Canis lupus familiaris: one gene and its partner. Each later gene encodes a partner of the first gene's protein in a complex. Links are inferred from orthologs where the notes say so. Each region holds a gene or a part of one and is shown on either strand. Other genes may lie near its edges. The genes, in order: HDAC3 and GPS2.

What was found.
Region 2: HDAC3 (region 1) and GPS2 share a complex: the UniProt entries of both Homo sapiens proteins name them as parts of the N-Cor repressor complex. The link is inferred for Canis lupus familiaris from reciprocal best matches to the Homo sapiens genes HDAC3 and GPS2.

What each region holds. Positions count from the first base shown.
Region 1 is NC_049223.1:35,735,292-35,739,090, forward strand, and holds part of HDAC3 (histone deacetylase 3), read right to left. Parts: intron 3,561-3,799; coding exon 3,479-3,560; intron 3,349-3,478; coding exon 3,292-3,348; intron 3,172-3,291; coding exon 3,116-3,171; intron 2,732-3,115; coding exon 2,598-2,731; intron 2,072-2,597; coding exon 1,991-2,071; intron 1,606-1,990; coding exon 1,532-1,605; intron 1,368-1,531; coding exon 1,303-1,367; intron 389-1,302; exon of another isoform or gene 175-388; coding exon 85-174; exon of another isoform or gene 1-84. UniProt on the Homo sapiens protein: Histone deacetylase that catalyzes the deacetylation of lysine residues on the N-terminal part of the core histones (H2A, H2B, H3 and H4), and some other non-histone substrates.
Region 2 is NC_049226.1:32,479,243-32,483,817, forward strand, and holds GPS2 (G protein pathway suppressor 2), read right to left. Parts: upstream 2,977-4,575; 5' UTR 2,858-2,976; intron 2,662-2,857; 5' UTR 2,593-2,661; coding exon 2,499-2,592; intron 2,190-2,498; coding exon 2,080-2,189; intron 2,001-2,079; coding exon 1,888-2,000; intron 1,758-1,887; coding exon 1,678-1,757; intron 1,586-1,677; coding exon 1,503-1,585; intron 1,311-1,502; coding exon 1,157-1,310; intron 1,051-1,156; coding exon 961-1,050; intron 880-960; coding exon 800-879; intron 713-799; coding exon 617-712; intron 434-616; coding exon 350-433; 3' UTR 258-349; downstream 1-257. Other genes in the region: NEURL4 (neuralized-like protein 4), read right to left, coding at 3,499-3,703, 4,104-4,269, 4,365-4,477. UniProt on the Homo sapiens protein: Key regulator of inflammation, lipid metabolism and mitochondrion homeostasis that acts by inhibiting the activity of the ubiquitin-conjugating enzyme UBE2N/Ubc13, thereby inhibiting 'Lys-63'-linked ubiquitination.

The DNA of each region.
Region 1 (3,799 bases):
CTATCTGGCCACATCTCAGGGAGCCCGCAACTCACCAACTCGCATTGGATAAGAAAGAAGAGAAAAATCAGGAAGCATACTCACCAGCAGCGGGCAACATTTCGGACAGTATAGCCACCACCACCTAGCACCAGTAGAGGGATATTGAAGCTCTTGACATATTCGACACATTCTCTGTTAAAAGGAACCAAAGGAATGGCTGGAGGAAGTTATCAAAAGCCAAAGTATAGCTCTCTAGGTATTGCCTGGAAAGGGCACAAGGGAACTAGAAAAGATTCCGTATCTTGATCTAGGTAGTGAAATTCACTGAGTTGTACCCTTGAGATATGTGTACTTTAATATATGTATGTAGGCCTGTGACGGCCCCAGTCCAAATAAAGTCCTGCGTGTGGAGCAAGAAAAAAAAATATATATATATGTATGTTGTGTCTCAGTAAAAATTGAAATGAGGACCTTCCCACCTCCCTCCTGCTCAATACCCATCCTGGCATCTCATTTGTTAACCAACTATTCTCATCAAAGCACCAGCAAGTGCTGTCAGCTCCAGCCTCTAAAATATAACTCAAATCACCTACTTCTCATTGGCCATCTCCACCTAAGCCCAGGTACCACATCTGCTGCCTGGACAACACCAAGGGATTCCTAACTGGCCTTCTCATTTTCACTCCTGTCCCCTACCCCTACCCTAAACCTTCCTCCATTCACCAATCAGAGCAGTAGCTTTATTTTTTTTCTTAAAGATTTTATTTATTTATTCATGAGAGACACAGGGAGAGAGAAATAGAGAGAGGCAAAGACACAGGCAGAGGGAGAAGCAGGCTCCATGCAGGGAGCCCAATGTGGGACTTGATCCCGGGACCCCAGGATCACACCTGGGCTGAAGGCAGGCACTAAACCACTGAGCCACCCAGGGATGCCCCAAGCAGTAGCTTTAAAACATGAATTGGATCATGTCACTTCCCTGTTTAACATCTTCCAACAGTTTCCCATCATATCTGAAATGCAATCCAGAATTCTCACCAGGGTCTAACGGCTCTGCACAATCTTACCACTGCCAACTTCTTAGGCCAACCTTACCACACCTCCAGCTTGCGGAGATGGTTTGACATGTGTTCTTGTCTGACTGCTTTTACTTCACATCCTCAGCTACACCAGCTCTCCCATGTCTCAGTGTCTCTCTGCCTGAGAGTGACTCTCTTATTCTTCCTATGGCCCATTCACCAACTACCCCTACCTACTCCATGTACTGAGACCCAAAGCCACTTTGAAAACCTGGGGGCAGAGATGGAGGGCAAGTCTCACCCATGTCCTCGAATGCTGAGGTTGAAGCAGCCCAAACGGTCACAGCCCAGAGAGTCCGCTCCACACTGCAAAAAAGCAAAACCCCAGGCAGCTGCAGGGGGATAACTGACCAGAATGTCCCAGATGTCCTTCACTTCACTTCCCCAATAAACACAAGGGCTATCCTCCTCCCTGCTCTCTTCCCCTAAGCCCAAGCAGAACCCTCTTGAGGAGGCACCTAGAGTATTACCTGGAGCACAATGCACGTGGGTTGGTAGAAGTCCACCACCTGGTTGATAACTGGCTGGAAAAGGTGCTTGTAACCTGAGAGAGGGCCAAAGGTGGGTACCTGGCACCCCAAGGGGATGGGGAGACAGGGAACAAAAGGAAAAAAGGGGTTGAGCGAGCATGTAGCCCAGGGAAAGGGGCAACCCAAAGAACCAAATCAATGGTTCTCAACTTTTGGATGGGGTCCCAGAGCATTCTGAGTGACTAATGAAAGCCAATGACCCTTTTCCCAGAAAAATGCACATACACCTAATATGTTGCATACAATTTCCGGGGGAGGGAGGGGTGGTTAATGGTCCCTCTGAAGGCCATTCATCCTTAAGGACACCTGGCCCAACAGTAGACAATACCAGGCAGAAGAGGTTAATTTAAAGAGAGGAAGAAGGGGCCTAGTAAGCAGGGAAAAGACTTCAATACTTACTCTGGTCATCAATGCCATCCCGCAAGGGCACATTGAGACAGTAGTAACGGCCACTCTCTGCTCCAACTTCATACATATCACCTATAGGGAGGTGGGAGGAGGGGGTAGGAGCCATACACAGGAAGTACCCACAACGCAGCTGCCTTAACTTCAATCTGTACACTGAGGGCCTCTCACTATATCTATGTACCTCCACTGCATGTTCCCTATAGACATTTACTCTCTTGTGGCTTACATTCATTCAACAAATAATCTTTGAGGGCCTACCATGAGCCAACCTGTGCAGTAGATACTGGGGATATAGCAATAGAGAGAATGGATGAAATTAATGAAATCCCACCAAGCTTATATTCTTGGGGGGTGGGCATGATGAAACAAGACAGTAAACAAAACAAAACACTGCAATAAATACAAGCAGCAATGAGTGCTCTGAGAGAAGCAAGCAGTGACATGGGGTAGTAATGGGGAAGGAGGGATTACTCTAACTGTGGTGGTGAGGACACACTTCTCTGAGAAGTCACCTGAGCCAAGACCTGAAGGCTGAGCAGGAGGCTATCACGGTAAAGAGTTGAGGGTGTGAAGGGGATGATCATCCTTATTCCCATACCTGTGCCAGGAAAGAAGTAGTTTCCGTATTTGTGGAAAGAAACTGTCATGACCCGGTCAGTGAGGTAGAACGCTTCCTGAACTCCATCACCATGGTGGATGTCAATATCAATGTAGAGCACCCGAGGGTGGTACCTGGAATGAGAGCCAAGCCAGGGTCTGAGGTAGAAGGGAACCCCAGCAAGAACACCCCCAATTCACACCTCCCAAAACAAGATCTGGAATTACGAAGATTCTACTTAAGCCCAAATCACCTGAAACCTAATACCAGTTCCCTATAGGCAACGCTGGGACTCTTGCCTGGAGGCAGGGACAGGAGAGGGATGTGCAGAGAAGACTGAAATGTGAGTGGGCAGCAGGGAGTCTGCAGCAGAGCAGGGAATAGGTAGTCTGAGTAAAGCACTAAAAACTATGAAGAAGCTAGTGTAGGGGCAGAGGAAAGGGTCAGGGCCAGCATAGTGTAATAGAACTCCTCGGCCATGGGTCTCATATCCCTCCATCTCCTCCCAGGCTACTTACTTGAGCAGCTCCAAGATGCCAATCACAATGTCATTGACATAGCAGAAGCCAGAGGCCTATGGTGAGACAGTGGTCTTACGAAGAGAGTAACAATTCCTCTACCCAGCTGCCCCTGATGTCATCCCGACCACCTATGCTAGGGCACTCATTGTCTCCCCCATCACCTCTTCACTCACCTCAAACTTCTTGGCATGGTGGAGACCACCAGCCCAGTTAATGGCAATATCACAGATCTGAAAAACAAACACCGAGCTCATAGTCCTACTTGCCCACCCCCAAAGCTGGAAGCTCAGGGTCAGGGTTAAGGCCTTGAGCTGGAAGGGCCCATAGGAAAGGGAGAACAGGACTCAGGGCCACAGGCACCTTGTTGTTCAGCTGGGTTGCTCCTTGCAGAGATGCGCCTGTGTAACGAGAACAGAACTCGAAGAGCCCGGGAAACACTGGGCTGCAGGAAAGAGAAGTAAGTCAGAGCCCTTTACCTCTCTCTAGGCCCTTCCTACACCTCTCCCCTGACCCCAAACTCCTCTAACCCCCATTCTTCAATAAACTTCTCCCCAGCCCCTATATGCCTGAGTTATCTGCAAATTTATTCAACAGATATCCAGACCAGGTACCAAGACCTATGTAAGGCATCGGATGGGAAGTAAAAAAGCATTAAATTCTGTCAGGGAGTTTGTATCCTGG
Region 2 (4,575 bases), on another chromosome or scaffold:
TCCCCGACACATTTGTTAAAATCAAACCTGAATAAAACTACAAGTTTAATATGAAGGCCCCAACTCAGTTGCTTCTTTGAATTAAATGGGTATTTGCTGACTAGAAAGTCAACTTAGAAATTACACATAAACAACTATGCCAAAGAGTTCCCTCTTACCCACCCACCCAGCTTCACCTGTTAGTTGCCTGTCACTCCTCACCCTCCACACAGCCCTGGCCCAGCCCGGGAGGGAGGTGATGCACACAGCAGCAGAGGGGCAGAGGCAGGTAAATTTTATTAGACTGGGACACCAAGTTCCCTCACCCACGTCAGGGGCTGTGGCTGAGGCTGAAGATAAAATCTGATGATCACTTGTGGTAGAATCGTGGATTCTGGCTGTGCTGGATGAAGGGGAGACGAGGGCCAGGCTGGCTGGTGGCTGCGAAGCCCGACTGGTGGCAGAAGTGGGGGGACTTCGTTGGTGTGTACCCTGCCCCTCAATCTACACCCGAACTCCCAGCCATCCCCACCCCAGGAGGAAATGGGAGAGGAGGGGTGGGCGCCGCCTCTCCTACACAATCTGGTTTTCCCCCTGGAAGGGTAGGGCCCCAGCCGGGTCCGACCCCTGGCCTTACCTTTCCTGCTGGCTGCATCTGCACCGGGAGCTGAGGAGAGGCGAGGAGCCCAGGGGCTGGATGCAGAGCCTGTGGGTGCATGGGGCGCAGGGAGGACTACGGAGAAGAGAGTCAGGGTCCGAGGCGGCCTGGGGCACCCCTGGGCCCAGCACTGCCCCTGCCCTGCCCAGGCTCTGTACTCACAGAGTCTGAGAAGCTGGTCTGCTGGTTAGCGTGCTCCATCTGCTTCTGTAAGGACAGGGCACCGCCAGGCTGGAGGAAGCCTACAAAGGGAAGGATGGGTGTGTGGAACGCGGAGGCGGGGAGGACGCTCAGCCCTGGGGCCCTGGCGGGGGCATCCTCACCTGTCTGGGTGGGCTGAAAGTGGCCGTGCACCGTGTAGGGCTGTGGCTGCGGCTGCGACAGGTACTGCACTGCTGGGAACGCCGAAGGTGCTGAGGGAGGCAGGAGGCACAGCCTGTCGAGCCTCCTTCGGGCCTGCCTGGGACCAGCGGCCTCTGGGTCTTGGAGGAAGCGCCCCCCTCCCAACCCACGGCTCACCTCTGAGCTGCTGACTGGGGCTATAGGCCGGCTGCGTGGGTCCGTAGTGAGGCGGGGGCTGCGCGGTCCCATAGGCACTGCCGGGGCTGCCTTGGAACTGGCCATGCTCCGGGGTCCCGGGGAAGGCAGCTGCAGAGCCCACATAGTGTCGCGTCTGAGGAAGGAAGAGGAGCGCTGGCTGCTGCTGGAAACTCCTCCAAAGCAGAACCCCAAGCGCCTTGTATGTGCCCAATTTTCCACCATTTGGTCAAGTGCTGGACAACATTGGTGACTTGAATACTTGTTTAATGCGGGTGCCCGTGTCTGCATGGAAATGGCGGGCTACACACCCAATGCTACTCCTTACTGTAAGCACTTGGGGTCCGAACATCTGTTTGGCCCTGTCAGCCGCCATGAGGGTGCCTGGGCGGTTGTGTCCTCCAGGGCTCCCTAGACAGGGAGACGGGCTTCATGAGGCTGCAGTGGGGTGGCTGCAACCCCCGGGAGGGTGCATTCTAACAAGCGGGTTCTTCATTCCTCACCCTGCATGCTGAGGAGGTGAGTCCCAGTGTGGACGGTCAGGCTCTGCTGGTACGCAGCTGAAGTCAAAGTGGTCAGGTCACTGCAGTGAAAGGCAGGCAGGTCAAAACCAAGAATGAAGACAAGTGCCCCCTCTTTTGCCATCAGACACCCATCTGGTGTTACCCATCCCAGTTACTGTCTCAATTTTATTTTTAGCTCTCCAATCCCACCTCTGCTCCTTTCGCCTCCGTTTCTCTTCTTCATGTAAAACTTTCTTGAGCTGCAGGAAGAGCTGGTGCTTCTCTTCCTGAAGGGCCAACAGCTTCTCCTGCAACTTCAGGATCTGAGAAGGCAGGGGAGAGGAGCTGACGGCAGGAGAGCCAAAGGAGGAAAAAGCTGGGACAGAGCAGGGGGCTGCTTACTTGTTCCTTGGTCTCCTCTAGTGACATTCTCTCCTCCATCTCCTTTTTCTTCCTCCTCTCTTGCTCTTCCTTCATCTTCTGTTCCATCATCTTGTCTACCTCTTCTTCCTCTGGAGAAAGAACCAGGTGCAATGGGAAGAACGCAGGGTGGTTAAAACACTAGGACGTTAGAGATGGAGAAGCGGGGAAACCTGCCGGTGCCAGTGCTCCCTCTGCTCCTCTCCTCCCAGGGGACTGGGAGGGAGGGTATGTCAGGTGCTCTCCAAGGTCCTTCCCGGCCCGAGTCTTCTGGAGCCCGGACCCGGCCTGCAGCTCCCTCCACCAGTGGCGGGCCGTCCCACCCTCCTCCCGCGCGGCCGCGGCGCGGCGCTGTGCCCATGGTGCGGGGCTTGGGGGTCCTCCCCCTCGGCCGGGCTCACCCTGCCGCTTGCGCTCCCGCTCCATCATGATGTGCCGGTGCAACGCCCGGGCCATGGCGTTGGAAAGCTTGGGGCGCTCCAGGAGCGCGGGCATGGTGCCACGGGGGACGCTCGGGCCGTGGGCGCCCGGCTCTGTCACGGACTGCCAGACCTTGGGCCGGGCCTGCCGAGAAGCGGGCGCTTAGGAGGGTCGCGCCCGCGGGCCGAGGCGGAAGCCCGCCTGCCGCCGCCGCCCCGGTCACGTGCCCGGCGCCCACCCTCCGCCGCCCGGCCGGTCCCGGGTGCTCCGGGTGCCCCTGTGCTCCGCGTGCGCCGGCGGGCTGGGGTCTCCGGCCTCGGCGCCGCCCGCCCCTCCCTACCCGCCTTCGCTGCGCTTTCTCCGCGGCTCCTGTGCGCCTCGGCCGCGCGTCACATCCGGCTGCCGGGCCGAGTCCTTCCGGAGCCGGGGCGGCCGGCGGCCTCGCGGGACGGGCGCAGGGAAGGGCGGAAGCGGCTGCGACGGGTGCCGCGGGGGGCCAAACTCCGTCGGCGCGCCGGGCGCCCCCAGCTGGGCAGCCCTGGGGCTCGTCGGGGGGCGGTGCGAGAGGGGGATGAATGAGAAAGAGGCCGAGGCGCGCGCTCTGGGACAGCGTTTATTGGCTCCTTGGAAACCCGCGTCCGTAACAACTGTACAGAGGCCCACCTTCCCCGCGCCCGCCCCCACTCCGCCCGGCGGCCCGGGGAGGCTCCTCGGGATTCACAGTAACAGGAACGAAAACGGAAATAAATTAAGTGATCCGGGGGAGGGAGTCCAGGGAGTCGTGTTCCCCGAGTCAGTGCATGAGGGGAGACTGCCGGCCCCGAGTGGGAGGCGTGGGCCCTGCACGCGGAGATGCGTTCCTGCTCCAGAGATGCGTCGGGCTCTGGGGGCTCCGGGGGCTCGGGGAGCACCCGCCGCGGCAGGGGATGCTAAGCCAGGGCCGGGGGGGCCCCACTGTGCTTGTCGTCCAGAGGCCAGCCCTCACTCCACCCGCACCAGCAGGGCATAGAGGAGTGTGGCCCCCTTCTCCTTGGTTATCCACTCGAGTTCTGCGGGGCTGAAGTGAGGGTCGGGAGGTTCTCGGAGGGTGGCCGAAGGGGGTCCGGGGGTGTAGGAGCCCGGGCGCACGCACACCTGGAACGCCACCTGGGCCTGGTGCGTTCGCTGGGACTTGGGATCCCGGAATCTGCAGGGCAAGAAGAAGGCCAGCCGTGAGGCCTCCAGGCTCCTCCCTCGGCTGCCTGCGGGGGGGGGGGGAGGGGGGGGGTCACTCCCACCTCCCAGAGAGAGGTGGCTTGGCTCTGGCCGCACCCCTGCTTGCTGGGGTCTCTCCAGGGCGCTCCCTGGCTTCCCTCTGCAGGCCTCTGCCCAAACCTAACCTTCGTCGCCATGTCTACCCTGACTACTGTGTGCCTGTACCTGTGCAAAGCACACCTGGGACCCACTGCGTCCCACTCTACTTTTATTTCCACAGTACTAGTCACCTTCAACAGTAAATGTGCTAGAGTGAGACAAGACCCAAGTGTCACAGCGGGGACACCAATGGGAAGCCATGGAGACCCCAGTCCCAGCCCCCATGTACTCACTGCACTTTGGACGCTAGGGTCTCGGCCCCAGCATACTGGAGGGAGGGGGACAGCAAGACGGAAGGGGGCTGCTCCTCCCGGGGTGGGGCGCAGTTCTCGCCAGGCTCCTCAAACCCCACCCCAGGCTTGCCTTTCAAGGGCCGGCAGCTCAGGATGGAGGCGGTGCCTGCGGGGAGAGCCAGTCAGGATGGAGGCGGTGCCTGCAGGGAGAGCCTCCTGGCCCAGGCCTGGCTTGCCCCTTCTCTGCCCCTGCCCCCGGACCTGCTCCCAGCTCTCCTCGGTCTAGCACCCTCCGGATGGCTGCCACGTTGCTCCCGTGATATGCCATGTGCCACTTCTTAGTCATCGTTCCAGCTTCCAGGCGGGGATTCACCCTAGGGTGTAGACCGGGCAGACTGGACAAAGATCCTCCCCTCGACCAGTAAAGGTTCTGTGGCTTCTTCCACGCACCCTCTTGGGAGCCTCCTTCGTC